2 linked regions of the Rhinolophus ferrumequinum genome follow. The protein of the gene in region 2 purifies or fractionates together with the protein of the main gene of each other region. This does not show direct contact. Links are inferred from orthologs where the notes say so. Each region holds a gene or a part of one and is shown on either strand. Other genes may lie near its edges. The genes, in order: EMB and SLC16A11.

Region 1 (9,374 bases), on a different chromosome or scaffold from region 2:
TCCGCCTTTATTTTCTTCTTTACTGCTGAAAAACCTGTATCTTATTATCCTTACTAGCTTTATTGAATTGCGCAAACACCCTATATATAACTCATCTCCCTTTGCCGCTGCCACACCTGACCCCAAAGATGTCTTGCTCACTCAGGCTCCAACACCCTGCGCTGTCTACTCTCCTGCATGCTTTACCTCCATCCCCTGATCAGCATTAGACACTACATGTCCTGCAGGCCCTGCGCTTAAGGCCTAGTCACTCTGCTGAGCTCTGAAGCCCAGCACCAGGCCAGTCTTCTGCAGGAGCGCCCACCTCCCTGTGCTCAGGCTCAAACACTACAACAGGGCTACTCTCCTCCTGGACACCATCCTGACCCGGCACAGCTTCTAATTCCCTGATCTGGGCCCCTCTGGCTCCCACCCTCCAACACAGGAGGATACCCACTTCCTGGCTATAGGCCTCATTCTGGGAAGGAAAAGAAAAGGGACAAGAGGCGGGGACAGAAGACCAGGAAAAGGAAGAGACAGTTGAACCAAATCTTTAAAAATGTTTACATAATGTAATTTTAAATATGATAAACTTAGTATCACTATTTTAATGTATCAGATACAACCCTATTAAATATAGGCTTATGTCAACCTGTTCCTTTGGACATATTAAACACATTGAAAGGTTAAAAACTGCTGAAGTTCTACTTAGATATAGACTGACACAATATCAGGCACATCTAGGTGCTCAAATAATATTTATTCCAATAAATATTTCTTATTAGGCAGTTGTTCTGGGGTGGGGGGGCATATAGAAAGGATGGGGGTTGATAAAGCATGTAGGCCATGTCACTCTAGAAGTTAAAAATGATCATTTCAAATGACTCCCCTGCAAACATTTTTCAAAAGATAAACACAAGCCAGTCTCTCAATTTGTTCCACGTAATAGTAAAAGCAAAGATGTTTGAATATTCCCACTTAAGTCATATTTCTCCTTACAGAGATATTTTACTATTCTTATTTAACTGAAACAGCCTGAAAGAGTTAAGGTGAGTCCTGTGCCTCACTGTATTGCAGGACTCACACTGTGTCAGCATGTCCTTCAGCTCAAATCAAGCATTTAGCTTCACAACTGCGCTCTTTGTCAGTGGTTCCAAACTTTCATAGACATCCAATTATCTCGGAGACAACTGAGTATTGTGTTTAAGAAGACAGGCTCAGGGGTTGGATTGAACAATGCTAAATTTCCTGCTCTACTGCTTAATTAATTATGTGTACTTAGGCGATCATTTAACCTCCCTAAATTCCAATTTCCTCATCTCAAAGTCAGGGCCAATAAGAGCTAACCCATAGGGCTATCAACTGCATAATGCAGTGTGTAGGCAATGCACATAATTATATAGTAAATGTGAAAAATTATAACCATTTTTATGAAAATTTGGCCAATAGTCTTAGGTTTCTAGAACATCTGTATCTAAGTTCAAAGCATCTAGATAAAAAGTAGCAGTAAACTTCACAATGTCCTTTAGCAAAGAGAAAATTGAGTCTCACAGAGATCAATACAGAATCTATAAAACAAGATGAAGTTGTCTGACAATTTTTAATTCTCCCTTAAAATTGGATGCTAACTTCATGCCTTTTATATGGCATATTATTCCATATTAAGTGAAGCTAATAGGACAGGACTTTTATACACACACACACACACACACACACACACACACATATATACATATATATATACAATGTCTGTGTATGTATATATATGTGTATATATATACACACAGACATTTGCCATAATACATACACCATCCCATTTAATTACAACTTTGTTAATTTATTCCACTTTTACTTGTTTCCTACTTTCTCTCTAGAAGTCTGCTCTGAATGTCAAATTGAACCTGACTCTGATGCCAACAGAATAAATATCCACCCAACGGTGCATTCTCTAGGCCATATCATTTTAAAGTACAGGTTTTCAACCTGCATAGGATCACATGATTAAAATAACAAGGCAATTAAAAAATCTCTTGATGTCCAGGCTGAATCCCAGGCCAACTGAATCAGAATTTTTGAAGGCAGGATCCAGGTAGTATTTTTAAACTCCCTAGTAATTCTAACATACAGCCAAATAGAGAACCAACGTTCTAGGACTAACCCAGAATGCATTGGTCCTCACAACTGCAATATTTTGAGGTGAAGGATGGGTGAATCAGGGATAGAAGAATTAAGGATAGCTTGAAGAGGAAAACTGTGCTGGACAATTCTTTTAAGTGGTACGAATAAAGAAGAGATGTGGAGCAAGGAAATTTGGAAACTGAAGCAGCCCAAAAGTGTTTTGTCCAAGTTGTGAACGAGGCCTTTTAAAGGACATTTATTTAAAAAAATAATAATAATAATCGTATCTTTGATTATCTTTCCATCTTTTATAGATTATGAAGAATCCACATGCTATAAACTCATAAAAATGAATTCCTATGAAAAGTTGAAAGCCTTGTGTAGAACAATATCCCAATTTTAGTTAACTGATGGGCAATGTTTGCCAACTTGTGAGGCGGTGTATTATCCTAACTGGCTGCTAACACTGAAATTCATAACGCAGGAATGTGTATTAGAAAGTAGATTAGATGGAACACTTTCATCATAAAAAGTAACTATAAACACGTGAAGCTAGAATGGCAAATTCGCTTTTGGTTTTGATAATGTTCTGCACATAAATACCACTTTCAAAGTGTCTTTAACGAAACAACCACCACGGAAAACTTCATTGTCAAAGAGCATGGTGTAAAAAAAGATACACAATCCAATGAGTTGTGGGCTTTGTTTGGTTGCTTGGTTGTCGTTGTTAAGTTGTTGTTTCACATTCCCAAAGCCAATCTACCCGCTAGGAAGAAGAGGAGGTGATATTTAAGCCTTACTATCAATTCAGATGAAGAGCGTCGGCCTTGGAGACTATGGCTTTCGGAATACTGCCCCTTTCGCAGAGGCCATTCGCGGCCAGCGCCCGCCGGCACCCACACACCCTACCGCCCTCTCCTTAGGAGCACCCTGACACTGCCCTACTCCCAACTCCCAGGCACTGTTGTTTCCAAATTCAGGAGCCGGGGCGGAGGAACACGAGCCTCCCAGTCCCCTCTTCCAGCTTAGGTAACCCACGCGTGGCCAGTGGGAGGGAGAAGGCGGCCGCCCGGGTCCACCTGCGGCCGCCAGCATCCTCGCGCCTCTCACCAACACCCCCCGCCTGGGTGCGCCGGCCAGCCCTCCGCTAGCGGGGACGCACCTCCCGCGCCCCTTCCTTCCCGCCCTCAGTCCCCTCCTCCGTCCTGCACCCGTCACACCTGGGGCATGGCCGTCCGCCAAGCTCGGGCGCGCAGCGGCCAGGAAGCACAGGAGGACCAGCGGCAGGGGCGGAGGCGCCGGGGGTCCCCGCCGGCAAGGGAAGGTGCGCATGGTTGTCGGTGAGTCCGCCGCTCTTCTCACCCAGGCGGCTCCCTCGGCAAACCAGTGTCGGTGCCTGGAGTCCCTGCGCATACTCGCTGGTGGCCCGGCGCCCGATGCCAGTTCCAGGGACGCGACACGCGAGAAAAGGCGAAGTAGGAGGGGCCCGGCTGCCCTGCCCTGCTCCCTGGAGACACTCTCACCGCGTCCAAGGCCGACCCAGAACTGCGCCCGGCCCCCCATCAATTATGCAGCGCGCTGTCCGCTGCAGGCGCGCCCGGATGTGCGGTGGCCACATCCGAGCGGCATCCTCTCCAGCCTCTGCCATCTGGGCTCTGGCAGGTCTGAGACGGAGCCTGCTAAGGACGCGGGGCACTTGCTGTCTAATTGATCTCCTGTGGGAGGGGTTGAAACTATATCGTATATATATAATGTTTATATGTCTGCAGACTATCCTTTGCAGTTCATTTGCAGCAGGGTTCACTTATTTACTTTGATGGGACAAATGAGAGGAGAACACTCTTCGCAACCCCCTCCCCTGACACCCCTGGGTTATTAAGGAGACAAGTTTGCGTTACATCCTGGACTAATGTTTCTTTGCTCTGTGTACCAAGTACCAATTGCACACACCCTCGCCTCCAGTCTCTGAAGGCTTAACCGGTTCTCTCCAGATGAAGGTTTCAGAGTCCCAAGGCCCTACAGTGTGTGTGTTTTCTTTTCCTTTTGTTTCTTGGCCTAACAGGTTTTGAGGAACCCCTAGAGCTCAACAAACAAAAACTACCGAATATAACTACTATGTAAACTGCACAAACCTGTGGACCTGAGTCGAACTTGAAGACTGTTTACAATGCTATTCCTTACCCAGTGAGGCTGTAGCTTGGAGTTTTCAGTGCTCTTGACCAAATAAAATAAAACAACTAAAAGCTATTGCTTTGTCAGAGCAGGGAGGAAGAATCTCCATTATAACAAAAGAGTAAGATCTGATGATTCCCCAGGAAGTTATAACACTTGAAAAGGTGTTTGTTTTGTTTTTGATTATTTATCCTGAGCTTTGTTTTCTTTCTCTTTGTTTTTTGAACATCAGGTTCAGATATTCATAAATTCGAAATATATCTGTGTCCAGAAAAAGAGGGTTGAAAGCAAATGTTACATACAAATTTTAAAAATTGAAGTGCTGCACGAGAGGTACACTCAGTTCAGGCAGGAATATTTACTTTTTATTTGGTATGCGTTACTAAGATATTCTACTGTTTCTGGTTCGACAATGGAAAAGAGTGTAGATTATTTCAATCAGTGTTGAGAGACTGTGAGTAATACAATTCATTAACCCATATAAAATATCTACCACGTTGCAAGCACTGTGTTCAAAATAGGCTGCATGTACTGCAAGAAACACACACACATGCACTCACACACACACACACACAGTAATTAATCTAGAGAGCTATTTATCTATAACTGCAAATCTAAGAAAAGCCTCCTCTTCTCAGTCAGAAAATTATGGTTATAATGAGTAAGCCTTTCTGAACAAAGCCTTATGAGACCTTGAAGAACTAAACATTTTACCTGACGGCGCCCTCAGGACCTTGGCCCAACTTGCTAAACCCAAATTGCCTGATCATTGGTTGCTAAATCACACCTGTTTGCTGTGCTGCATCGTGTCACAGAAAAAACTACAAACATTTGCCAATGCCTGCAGAGAGTTTTAATGGTAAGCACTTCTCAAAACAAACTGAACTGTAACAGATCTCCCCCATTTAGTCCTGTATAATCTTGACTCTCAAATTCACCTTTCTTCAAATAAGCTGACCTCATTTAAAGGACCTCATTTATCTTTCCAGTTGAATTTGTCTGCGTATGAACTGGAAAAAATGACTTGCCCAAGTTGAGGCTAATTCCCACTATCACTTTTGTTGTTAGAGCAGAATAAGTTGAGAAATATAATTCTTGTTTCACTAAGCATCTTGAAAGTCTTTTTCCCATCGATACTATTTATACGTAGATATTGACAGTTTTAGCTTTATCCCCACTCATTTCAAATGCTCCATATCCTTTCAAACCAGTTTATATAATAGCTTCCCTGTATGGCTTTTTCTGATCTTTCCAAACTGAAATTTCCCTTCATGGTGAATTAAATGTGGTCACAAATGCTTTGACATTCTCCTCATCATGAGGTGTGCTGAGGAAGGAGAGTCCTGTGTTTCCTCCCCTCAGGATGGGTGGACTCTGTGACCTATTGAATATTGCTGAAGTAACACTGAGTTTCCAAATCCAAACCACAACAGCACCCACTTCCTTTCTCCTCACTCTGACAAGACAACTGCCAGGAAAGAAATATGACTATCATATTTCTGTAAGAAGCCCAAACCACATAGAGCACCCAGAACAATGAGATGCCATGTGGAAAGAGAGCAGCCGGCCAAGGAGCAGTAGGTGCTAGATTTGTAGCACCTACTGCTCCTTGGAGCCTTTAGACAAGGCCAGCCAAGCACCTCTTGATGATCCCAGGTGATGCTCCTTGGAGCAGAAGAATTGCCTGGGTGATCCCTGCTTGAACTCTTGGCCCGCTCAGTTGTGAGGTATAATAACACTGTTGTTTGAAGCCACTAAATGTTGGGGTAGTTTGAGTCACCACAAGAAATAACCCAAACACTCTCCTCTGAACTCATACTGTCCCTAGGATTAATTTGACAATTAATAATTTACAGACTTGTGACTTGGCCTTCATTCTTGGCTTGAATTTCCATTTAAATATTTTATTGGTATTCAACTTGTTACGTGATTCCATCTTCTTTCCCAATTACATTATAACTTTTCAGTACCTGGAAATGATTCTATAATTCTTTATATTTTCTACAGTGTCTTAAAATAGTACTTGTAGTGTGCTCTCTTTTTACTTATTAGAAAATTAGTATAGGAAAAACGTTTTTTTTTTATAAACTTATGTTTATAAAATAATGCTATAATTGTTTTTTCTTTTAAGATATAAGCTGTCATTGAGTGAAAAGTGTGTGACAGTTTCCTGGGAAGGTGTGAAAGTGAGAATGAGAATGTGGATATAGGTTACTGCTTATTGAAAAATAATATTTTACTTAAATAATATTGGAGGAAAGCATTATATCAGACAGTAATATGTAAAGTACTAAAAATGAAGACAAAAATTTGCTACTGATGATTACTAGAAAATAAACAAAAACCCAAAAGTACAAACACAAGTCATAGGTTATGGTAGCTAAAATTCTGCAATGCCCCCAAGATTCCTGTCCCCCTGGTTGTGTGCCCTGGCTGCCCTTGAAGGTGGGCAGGCTTGTGAATATGATGGAGTAGTCACTGCCTTGAGTAGGTGACATTATAGCAGGCTGAAATATTCCTAGGGAGAAAGATGCCCTCATGCTTATCTGGAAGAAACAGTCACATTGTGAACTAGCTGACTGTTGAGAGGAACGACCTCCAGGAGCTGAGCATGTCAGTCCTACAACCCCAAGGAATTGAATTCTGCCAACAACCAGTGAGCTTGGAAAAAGCTCCAAATCCTTATAGGAGATTGCTGCCCCAGCCAACACCTTGATTGCAGCCTGGTGAGACCTGAATAGAGTACCCAGGACTTCTGACCCACGGAATCTGTGAAATAATAAATTTGTGTTAAACAACTAAGTTTGTTGTGTAGGGAATTTGTTATGTAGCAATAAAAAACTGATGCAGGGGAGCACATCAGATTTGATTCTAGTCACACTACAAGAAAATAATTATATATATTTGAACAAGATAAGATGTGGATATGGAAGGAAAAAGAAGAAAGTACTCTACTCACCTCTGTATACTAAAAAGGATAAATGAAAAGTTCCAGAGCTACTCAGAAGGTTGTATCATTTCTAAATTGGAACCTGTGACCAACTGATAGTCATTTTCTCTCCTCTGGAAGGAAAATATATATGTGTATGCATGTGTATTTGTGTATTTACATGCATGTACATGTATATACACACATATATAGTGTGTACATATACATGTATATATTTTTAATTAAATTATTTACCAACATAGGGAGATCCGTTGATCTCAGGGATATAAGTCCTCCACCTCATCCCAGGAGATAAATCATAATTGGTCTGAAGCAATGAGTATAATCTCACTCCCCTTAGCAACGGTATGTCTAAGGGGAAGCATAGCTAAATGAGATAAAAATAGCAAATCTATGGAGGCCTCCTGTCATCAAAGAGATCATCAAAGAGATCAAAATCCTTAAACAGAGAAAGATTTTTGCCACATCCTTTTGACACCTTCTTTCAACCTTGAATATAGCCTTGATGCCAGGATTGGCAGTGGTAACTCTGCAATTATGTGGTGACCAGCTAACTTTTCCAAAAGTAGCGGAGGAAAGAAAAAAGAAACCTGGCTTCTTGGTGATATCACCGAGCTGCTGCACCAGCCCTGAGATACCTACCTCCTGACCTGTGTAAAACAAGAACTATTAGTGACAGCACTATTGTTTGGATTTTCAGTTAAATGGCAGCTGATGACATTCCTGTCTTCCAGAACTTTCTGTACCTTGCCTTAATTTAAATAAAAGCCTTATACTGTTTCCATACGAGATTCTCCTTCTACGTCCTCATTTAATAACTCACCTTTGCTTTGGGGATAATATGCAATATCTAAGGCTTTTTATGATCTGGCCCTTATTGAACTCTAACTTACCTTTCAACATCTTCCCTCACCCGAACTCTATTCATGATAAATACTTGAAATATGCCCAACGTCAGCTGTCCCGTGTGCATCATTGACTTTACGTCTCATTATTTTTTCTATTTATTTTTATTTTTCAATTACAGATGAAATGCAATTATTTTATATTAGTTTCAGGTGTATAGCATGGTGGTTAGACATTTATATAATTTGCAAAGTGACCCCCTGGTAAGCCTAGTACCCACCTGGCATCATATGTAGTTGTTACAGTATTATTGACTATATTCCCTATGCTGTACTTTACATCTCCATGATTATTTTGTAACTACTAATTTATACTTCTTAATCCTTTCACCTTTTTCACCCACCTACCAACCCCTCTCCAATTTGGCAACCTCTTTTACTCTCCCCTCTCCTCCTCTGACCTGCCCTGCCCTTTTTTTCTGTTGACTTTTGGAATAGTATTGCCTATAGCTCTACTGCCTAATCCTCACTTGAATTTCTGTGTGCCCTTTTCTCCAGAAAATTCTCTGATTATCCCTCTTTAAGAACTTCTTCTCGGGCTCCCACACATCTTCTGTACCCTCTTATCCCAATTTTTTGTGGATGATGCTATAATCATCTGTTTTATTTCCATTGTTTAGTTTCCTAAATGCTGAAACAGTGCCTGGTTTCCATTTGCATCCTATGTGCCCCAGCACACCATTGAAGAATGAAAGAATGAAACTCAAAAGCTACAAATGGATATTCTTTGAAAAGTAACCATCTCCTGGAGTGTCCCCCACCCACCCTCCCTTCCCAGGGATGACGGGTATCCATTGCTGCCTTCTTCCAGGGATATTCTAAATCTATGCAAAATGTTTCTGGGTACCTGTGCCTTCCACACGGAAGACGGCATCCTGTGCTCACTGTCCCACACCCAGCTTTTCTTCTTCTGTAGTATATCTCCTTCTTCCATTTAGAGCTTTCCCCTTTAAACAGCTAAATATTATTCCTTTCTGTGGATGTTCAACCAGGTATTTACCAGGTCTCAATTGACTACATTTATATTGTTTGGCCCTTTCCCATTTACAAAGAATTCAAAACTTAATATTATTGTGTGTTTCTTTAGTAGTTCAGAAAAAAAGTATACATGGTGACTATAATCTGGAAAATAATATTGCTTCATCAAAAGCTATTTGTGTTTTCAACTTTGATAGATGTTGCCCCACTACTTTCCTTTTAAATTGTATTAGTTTATTTTCTCACCAACAGTGAGCAGACTGGTTTCCCTA
Region 2 (9,609 bases):
TGATAATGGGTATTCCTTTTTAATGAAATAGGTATAATGATTTTTCTTTTTAGGATATTTGCCTTTTTTGAGAAACACCCTTTATTAAATTTTAGAAATTTCCTTATATTTCCAAATATTGTGTTTTAAGGTTTTTTTTGGTTTTTTTTTTTTTAGAAAAATGGCTGCTGAAGAGCCTCAAATGTCTCCTCAGATTTTACTAGTGTGATGTTACATCCGGTTTTTAGCCCTGCCATGCCTGTTCATGCTTTAGTCATTTACCACTTGAGTGGGCTGAAGCTGAGGATATGAGAGAGAGAGCTCTGAAGATGTGGTTTTCAGGATGAATTTACATAAGGGGCCTTGTGCTCCTGGGTAAGAAGACAGCAGCTTATTCTGAAGGTAGTGGGGAGCCTTTGTGGATAGATCAGATTTGAATTTTGGAGGAAAAAAAAATCACTCTGCTACAGTGAAGAGAATGGATTGCTGGGGGCAGCTGGAGGCAAGGAGACCAGTTAGGATGTGAGTGTGGACATCTAGACTGGGGGAGAAGAGAAATGTATTTATTTATTGCTGCTATATTGATGCCCACTTCATGCCATTCATTATGTCAGGTCTTTTATACAGAGTATAGGTGTTTCTTCCTGTTGCTTGTGTGTATGTGTGGTGGAGGAGGGAGAAGTTTGTGGTAAAAATCAGAGGGAACAAATCTCATTAATAGTAACAAGGAAAAAGTCCACAGCAGAGTCTGGAGGAATGGACTCCTCCAGAGTAATCTTTGGTTTTCCAACCTCTCCAAGTCCCTTCAGGCACCAATGGGGAATCCATAGATGGCTTAGCACTTTTGGTTTCCTATTCAACACTGATTCTTTTTTTCTCCTTCCTTACTGACCCGAAATGGTATTTAGGAACCCACTCTACTCCATATAGTCATGTGCTTTAGGTGAATCTGGCTCTAGCACAGGCCCAGAGGTAGGACCTGATGACAGTAAGTCGGTCATGGTGGTGCCATCCCCCTTGTCAGTGGCTGGCTTAATCATGGACAAGGGATGTAAACTTGGCCATGGATGAAGAGCTATCTGCTGGGGACTGTAGGCAAAGATTTCCTGACTGCCACGGGGGATACACTGAAAGCGATGTGCTCATTTTCTTCTGAACATTGTTATACTTGAATGTCATATGTGAAACTGCTACAGCCATGTTGCAACCTTAAGAACAGGCCTGGACAACTCTGCCTTACACGTTAGATCTGCAGAATGTCCAATTTACATTCCTACAGCTTCAGGACACCTGTTATCTGACTGCCTGTCTCCTCCCACCTTGGCTTCTGATCCTGGTTGACACTACTCAGCTGGGAAGTAGATTCTGGCCCCCCAGGGCCACTGTAACCCCATGGCAGATCTAGGCGTTGTCAACGGAGTCCCCTAAGAGGCTGAGTCCTTTCAATCAGATGTGAGGTCCCAGGCTGGGATTGGGAAGGCTGACAGAGGGCCCAGAAAATTCAGAGGTAGCTAAGTTTGGGTACCATGTTTCCCCAAAAATAAGACCTAGCCAGACAATCAGCTCTAATGTGTCTTTTGGAGCAAAAATTAATATAATACCCAGTCTTATTTTACTATTAAGACTGGGTATAATATAATATAATACCAGGACTTATATTAATTTTTGCTCCAAAAGACGCATTAGAGCTGATTGTCTGGCTAGGTCTTACTTTCAGGGAAACAGGATACTACAGGGAGGAAATGATAGACATCACCTCTTGTCCCTCTGGTGTGACTGTCCCCTCTCAAATCAAGACATGAGGAGCACAGGGAACTGGAGTAAAGATGGGACTGAAGTAGAGATGAAGGGGTGACTACCTGGGGCTAGAAAACGGGAGGCAGTGAAATGGAAGGGAAATTCCATTTGTACAGTGCCTACCACGTGCCTAGAGTTGAACTGTTCCTTTCCAAGCCTTATTTAGCAGAAGTCTCACCAACAATCTAGATGCCTAGAAAATATTGGAGTTAAGAATCACGAACTTTGCTTTTAACAATTCCCCATGTTTGCTTTTGCAGGATGCATGCACATGGCTGTCTCGATTCAAATTCCATTCCTATCCTGACAACCGGTTTTTAGTGGATGTTTGGACTGCCTTGCACCTGAAATTCTTCCTCCGTTTGAGAAATTTATTATTATTATCATTATCATCATCATCATTATTATTACTATTATTCTACTTTATTGAGGTATGGTTGACATGTCCCACCTTATTTTTTTTGGTGGGAGGCAGAACCTATCTACCTGTAGACACTGAAAAGACCAAGTGTTTACTTTCTTGGTGTCCCTTCCAGCCACAATGAGAGCACATGACGAAGGTTCAGGGTCAATATTGACCCTGGACTTGGATTTAGAGCTAGTGGTGAATAAAGTAGAGAACACTTCCGAGCAGCAACAGTTTCTAGGCATTGTGGACGCAGAGAGCCAGCAGCGACATCTAGTGTCCAATGGTGACAGCAGCAGCCTTGGCGACCCATTTAGCCCTGTGGCAGTCTGTGTTCTGCCAAACTGAGTTCTTTAGCCTTCTTGATAATTCTGAGATCTACCCAGTATATCCTGTAATCAATCATTTCGCTCCTTAAATAACTTGGAGCGAGTGCCTATGATTTACAGCTAAGAACTTTGACATAGATGTTGGCCGAAGTCCCAGAATCAGAAAATGCCAGATAAGACACATTTGGAGATTTAGACACACAGACCAGGCTCAAACATATTAGCTGGGTGCTTCCTCCACCATCCTGATGCCCCTCCTGAAGACTGGGTAGTCCAGAGGCTCCAGACCTTTAGCACTTAAGGGGGCTAGGGAGGTGGGGGATGGTGACGGAGGGAAGGCATGGGGACTGGATTGGAAGATGCACTGGAAATGGACTTGGTAGAGGGGATGAGAGAAGTAATGTGGGGTAGGACTCCCACCCCATCCCAACCCATTCCAGGTCTTGTCTGAAACCTAGCTCAGCCTCAGCTCTGTCTTCATCAGTGCCAACTTCTACCTGACCATGGCCTCCCCCAGCCCTAGACTCAGCAGACTCCTTCCCCAGTCCCAGTCCCAACACAAAGTTCAGGAGACTCATGTCAGTTCTCCATTCCTGTGTAGATGTGTTCTCTGCACATAATGAGCCCCACTTGCCTGAGTGAGTGCACTTACCCTCCTGCTTCACTCCCCACTCCCAGTGCAGAGCACCTCAACAGATGTGCTCCCCTGGCCCTGAACCACAAACCCTGACCTTGTGATCTCCTCCTTTCCCGGGTCAAGTTCTTCTTCCACTTTTCTAGACCCTGGGTCTGGGCTTTGAGGTGTATGCTGACTTCCCATGGCCTGGTCTCTCGGTGAGCTAGGGAAGGAAAGGATTCTGGTGGGTGAGCGGTGAGAGGCAGCTCTATTAGGCACTTAGAAGCCCAAGATCAGCTGGGCCAAACACCACAAAGTCTCATATTTTTGTGTACCTCAAAGAGAGCCAGGTTTCTTGTGGGTAATACCATCTGTCCTTGCCTGTCCCCTTCCCTCCCATCCACCTTCTATAGAGGGAGCCCCCAGTGGGTGTACCCAAGGAATGGCTAGGCTCAGTTCAAGGCTTCCCCAAGGTTGCAGACCCTTGAGGCCCCCAAAACCTCTCACAGGGGCTCCCATGAGAAAACTCCAGAGCAGTTTCAGAGTCCACAAATACAGACACACTCCCAGATCCTGTAGTCCCCAAAGCAAATTACGTACAGACCTTGACCCTCTCTTTTGATCTCCCTAAAGACTCGACCTGGCTCAGTATCTACTTCTGGGACTTTCTCCATGTGGGCAAGCATTATCAGTTTGGTCCATCAACAACCCCTTCGTGTGATGGTACCACATCCTGTTGAGTCCCTTGTTCAGTGTTTCTCTCATTCAGTCATTCGTCATTCACATTTGGCACCTTTGGGTGTCAAAGATCCAGAAACCAAGAATGCAAGGTTCCACCTCCAGGGCAATATAGGGGAAAGATAAAAATGAATGATATCACCGCAGTCTGAGAAGTGCTCTCACGAGGGTTAATTAGGCAAAGGGGGAGGTATCTAATGCAGATTAGGAGTTGTTCAGAGGCCTTCCGAGAGGAAAACCTGCTGCACCATCAGTGGAGAAGACTTGGGGAGAAAAACATAAATAATGTATCTAGTCATATAAAACATTATTTTCCTATGAAAATATGCACCAGACTATGAAGGAGGATGCAAAATTCCACATGAATTTTCAATGTAAAACAAGATATTTCCGAGAAACTTCCCACACATGAACGGTCTATAACCCCAGACTCTCCTGACGCCTTAACTGTGGTATAAGTCCTCTTTCCTCTGTGTTCAGCTTCCAGTATTAGTGAATATTCGTGAAAGCTATGTCCAAGTGAATCAGTCTTTGGGAAAACATCTACATTCCTTAACCTGACCTTTAAGACCTTTCATGATGGGACCTTCTGCCCCTACATTGTTCTTCTCTACCCTCACTGTTCTCCATACAGCAGCTATTTACAGCGCTCCAAACAATAAACAATGTGCCAAGCTGGTTTATCCCTTTGTGATTTTTCCACAGTCTGTTCCCTTTGCCTGGAATGCCCTTGCCCACACATCCATCTGGCAAACTCCTACTCATCCTTCAAGACCCAGCTCAAAGAGCTCCTCTTCTGTGAAGCCTTCCCAGCAAGCCCTAGCAGAATGAGTCAGTTCCTCCCATGCACTACTCTATGGTGCGCGTCCCTCTCCTTGTGCTGAGATTTTTTTATTTCACTTTTTCTCTACTAATGATTTTGGGAGCTTGGAGGGGAGAGACTGTATCATTTATAATTTTATCCCTAGCCCTAAGCATAGCATCTGGCATAGTAGGTGTCTATGTTTTGTTTGAAGGAGTGAATGAACAAAACTTAATTTGATTCCTTTCTTCTCTTTTGTTTTTAGAGTCAAGATAGAGAGACCAGGATTTTCTTATGAACTCTGGAAAATGCTAAGAAAATCACTCACCACATAAAAAAAAAAAAATCCCATTTAACCTTTTTGTGGCTATTCACATCTTACAACCCGTGTAGTTCTACTGAGAGCTCAGCAGACCAATGTGGATCTTTGACCTTGAGACATTAGTAGATGTAGACAAGTAGTGAAAGCACAGTGATGCTGAAAGGTCTAGTCAGATTTCTCCAAGTCACAACAATAGCAGCAATAGGGGCTGACACACATCATGTTCCAGGCACTGTTTTATGTTCCTTACTCATACATGTATACACAGCAACTCATTTAATCCTTATTAAAAACCCTATCAGGTAGCTACTATTATTATCCCCATTTTAGAGATGAGGAAACTGAGCCACAGAGGGATTGAAAAATTTGCTCACAATAATACAGCTAATAAGTGGCAGAGATGAGATTCAAACCCAGGAAGTCTAGCTTGGGAATCCATTCTCCCAATTTCAACTTTATATAAACTCCATGAGCAGAAGACATATAGTGATGGCAATTTTGGCTAAGAATATAGGGAACTTGAGGTAGAAGAGAAATGTTCTCTTTCACAACCAATCACCCCAGTCCCAGGCTCTGGACACCCTCTGGGTTCGCAAGTATCCTTTAAAGGTGCTCAGCATAACTATACAACTCCCAGACCTAGAGGGCCCCTGTCTCCTCTTTGGTTTGCATTTCTACTTCACCACAGAGAGGGAGTAATTTGTTTCAGTTGGCTTTATTCAACTTGGGACAGAGTCCTCGCCACCCATCTCAGGAGTGGGCTCAGTGCCCTTGTCGGTGGCTGAGGATCTGCTAGCTCCACCTCCCAGGTGCCTTTTACAACAGCAACCCAGGCTAGAGAAACCAGTGAGACCACTTTCCTACGATATACGTGGCAGGATCTTAAACCTTCGTGGATTCCTGTGCCCTACCCAGGACATTTCAAGCAGAGGGCATGACATATGCAAGAATTCAGGAGTGAGAAAAAGACAGGTATGTCCATGGAGCAGGTAAGACTATGGCTGGTGGAAGGGTATATGAAAGAGGAGGGAAATGGAATAGAAATGTATCCTGGGTCTACTTTTAGTTGTGAAAGGCTTTACACCCAAAGTTCAAAGTCAGATAATTAAGTTCGCGAACTTATTCTAGAAAAACTGCTACATACCTCATTGCTGAATATCACTACAGTCACCTTTGAAGTACTCCCCTTGGGAAGCTACGCACCGATGCCAGCGCCTAGTCCACCCTTCAAAGCAATTTTGGAACTCTTTTTCTGGAATGGCCATTAGAGCCGTCGTCACATTACCATTGATGTTTTGAATGTCATCAAAATGTCTTCCTTTTAATATTTCCCTTGTCTTCAGGTAAAGAAAGAAGTCATTTGGGGTCAGATCAGGTGAGTAGGGAAGGTGTTCCAATAGTTATTTGTTTACTGGTTAAAAACTCCCTCACAGACAGTGCTGTGTAAGATGGTGCATTGTCGTAATGTGAGAGCCATGAATTATTGGCAAAAAGTTTGTCACGTAGCCTTTTTAGCACTTCCAAATAGTAAACTTGGTAAACTGTTTGTTCAGTTGGTACAAATTCATAATGAACAATTCCTCTGATATCAAAAAAGGTTAGCAACATCATTGCAACAAGTTCACAAACTTAATTGTCAGACCTCATAAATTGAGTTTTTCTCCCCCTCCTATTGTCTGTAGAGAGTCATCAAGGTCAGGCTGTGTTTGTTAGGTTTACAGTTTCACTACTTAAGCTGTTGTTTTCTTTACTTGCAGATACTTCTCAACAATTGGGAAGTACTGCCATCATGTGGCTTTTGGGTGATACATGCTCCAAACTGTAAATAGCTGAATTTTCTGATATTGTTTCATAATTAAAGAACACATCTCTTGATTCAAATAGCTGAAGTAAAACAATGGTAACCTTAATCCTAATGTAAAAAGGATAATTTTTATGAAGTTTTTCAAGAAATCAGTACCTGGGTTCAATTCTTGGATTTCTTACTTTGTTTTTAAAATTCTAATCGCTCAATCTTTAGCGATTCCAATCACAAGGATCCTTTCTTTTCCCAGTAAACCCTATCTTAGAATTATAAACTCTTTGGCTCTGAAAAGGCTCTGCCATTTGCAGGCCAATTTGGAATCAAACTGTCTCCAGGCCATCATGTCCTTTCACTGTGGCAAATTCTGTTTCAGTCGTAGGTCTGTTCTGCTTGTATGGTCCCACAGTTGGACAGACCCAAATTCAAATATTTTCACCATTTTTTAGCTGGGTGATTTTGGGCAAGTCACCTAACCTCTGGAAGCTTCAGTTACTTCATCTGTAAAATGAGGATGGCACCATCATCACAGGGTTATTGTGAGGATGAAGAGAGGACATGTGTAAAAATCTCCTGGCACATCACAGCCCCTCATACATAATAAGGGAGTCCTCTTCCTTCACCTGAATCTTTGAGGGCATATTCTTGTAGAGCGTGCAATAAGCACTCAGTGGAGGTCTGTAATTTGATAGCCAAGATTTACCTGGTCTTCCAGCTACGTTTCCTGAGAACAAAACTACTCATTGCCTCAGGCGTTGGGGGACCCCCCCCTCCCCGTTTCAGTGCGTTGCCTACCAACCTTGAGCTTGCTGGGGATTGCAATCCACGCGTCTTCTCCGTGTGCAGCAGGCGGCAGATGCGTGGCCATGGGCAGGGTGGCATTCTTTCCTTGCTTTTTCGGGGGCTGGTGTGTGTGTGTGTGTGTGTGTGTGTGTGTGTGTAATTTAATTTCCGTGAGGGGGGGAGGGGAGAGAGAGAGAGAGAGAGAGAGAGAGAGAGAGAGAGAGAGAGAGAGATTTAATCCCCGTGGGACTCAGCTTCTGGCCTCACCCTGGGCTCCGCGGATTGGCTGTCTCAACTCGCCTCCGCCCTGTGTACCACCGCGTCCCAGGTGGCTCAGGCCCCCAGCAGTGATCTGTTTACCGAGAGAGCCCAGCCAAGTTGGGCTCCCTCTCTGCACACACTCCCCTCTGTGGACCGGCCCGCACAGGAAACGGGGAGAAATCAGGCAGAGCCATTCCTCGCCCTTTCCCTCCCCTCATCGCCCGGAGAGATCGGGTAAGGGGTAAGGAGTGTGGCGGGAAGGGCAGTCCCAAGCCAGGATGTCACCCAGTCCCGGTACCTCACTCGTACCCAGGAATTCTATGCCCAGGCCCAGCTCCTGCTCCCTCCACCCCCGCCCTTTTGTGCTCAGGGTGACGAGCCCTCCCTGGGCAAGCAGCCCCCAGAGGCTGGGTGTCAGGGATGCCAGGTCCCTAGAAGAGGCACAGACATGGAGATTTCATTCACAGGTGTTCCCTCCTCCCCCAGACAGCGATGATGACCCCCAAGCTGGCCGGACCTCCAGACGGGGGCTGGGGCTGGGTGGTGGCGGCCGCAGCCTTCGTGGTGAATGGGCTCTCCTACGGGTTGTTGCGTTCCCTGGGCCTTGCCCTCCCTGACCTCGCGGAGCACTTTGACCGAACTGCTCAGGACACTGCGTGGGTCAGCGCCCTGGCCCTAGCCGTGCAGCAGGCAGCCAGTGAGGGGGGACCCCGAGGTGGGAGGCAGGAATGGGGTGGAGGAGTCGTTGAGTGTAGTGGTGGGGGACCCACCTGATTACCAGATAACCTGAGAAAGGGCGACGGGTGGAACGAAATTCTAGAAGAGAGGGTCATGAGGTTAAGGGGAGGAGCTGTTAGGCTAGGGGAAGAGTTTTAGGTCTAGGCAAACAGCCAATGAGAAGTGTTGAATCGAGTTTTGGGGCTCAGGGGCGTGTCTTCCGTTTACTCTGCCTCCTTCTAGGCCCAGTGGGCAGCGCACTGAGCACCCGCTGGGGAGCACGCCCGGTGGTGATGGTTGGGGGCATCCTTACCTCACTCGGCTTCATCTTCTCGGCTTTTGCCGGCAGTCTGCTACACCTCTACCTTGGCCTGGGCGTCCTTGCTGGTGAGGGGAGAGGATACCCGGGTCATTACGGGGTAATGGTGAAAATAGGAGCTGGTTGGGGGCTGGAGGCCAACCGGACAGCGGCCCCCTCCAAGGAGCAGGGCTGGGATTATTGGGGCAGGCATCCCTGGTCCTCACCCCATCTTACCCATTCACAGGCTCCGGCTGGGCCCTGGTGTTTGCCCCTGCCGTCGGGACCCTCTCCCGTTACTTCTCCCGCCGTCGAGTCTTGGCTGTGGGGCTGGCCCTCACGGGCAGCGGGGCCTCCTCGCTGCTCCTGGCCCCCGCCTTGCAGCTCCTCCTGCATACTGTCGGCTGGCGGGGGGCCCTGCTCCTCCTTGGTGCCATTACCCTCCACCTCATTCCCTGTGGAGCCCTTCTGCGACCCCTAGCGCTTCCTGGCGACCCTCCAGCACCACCCCACGGACCCCTAGCTGCCCTCGGCCTAGATCTCTTCACTCGCCGCTCCTTCTTAGTTTTTGCTCTGGGCACAGCCATGGTGGGGGGTGGGTACTTCGTCCCCTATGTGCACTTGGCCCCTCACGCTTTAGACCAAGGCCTAGGGGGGTATGGAGCAGCGCTGGTGGTGGCGGTGGCGGCGGTGGCAGATGCAGGCGCCCGGCTGGTCTGCGGGTGGCTGGCGGACCAGGGCTGGGTGCCCCTCACACGGC

The links.
Region 1: the proteins of SLC16A11 (region 2) and EMB purify together in Homo sapiens (co-immunoprecipitation; 3 studies listed by BioGRID and IntAct, counting the BioPlex papers as one, with this or other methods). This does not show direct contact. The link is inferred for Rhinolophus ferrumequinum from reciprocal best matches to the Homo sapiens genes SLC16A11 and EMB.

Annotation. Positions count from the first base shown.
Region 1 is NC_046290.1:30,705,086-30,714,459, forward strand, and holds the start of EMB (embigin), read right to left. Parts: upstream 3,751-9,374; 5' UTR 3,661-3,750; coding exon 3,318-3,660; intron 1-3,317. UniProt on the Homo sapiens protein: Plays a role in the outgrowth of motoneurons and in the formation of neuromuscular junctions.
Region 2 is NC_046304.1:12,267,680-12,277,288, forward strand, and holds the start of SLC16A11 (monocarboxylate transporter 11), read left to right. Parts: upstream 1-5,787; 5' UTR 5,788-5,930; coding exon of another isoform or gene 5,931-5,961; intron 5,962-7,589; exon of another isoform or gene 7,590-7,694; intron 7,695-7,814; exon of another isoform or gene 7,815-8,075; intron 8,076-8,301; exon of another isoform or gene 8,302-8,320; 5' UTR 8,321-8,326; coding exon 8,327-8,531; intron 8,532-8,794; coding exon 8,795-8,938; intron 8,939-9,086; exon of another isoform or gene 9,087-9,096; coding exon 9,097-9,609. UniProt on the Homo sapiens protein: Proton-linked monocarboxylate transporter. It catalyzes the transport of pyruvate across the plasma membrane.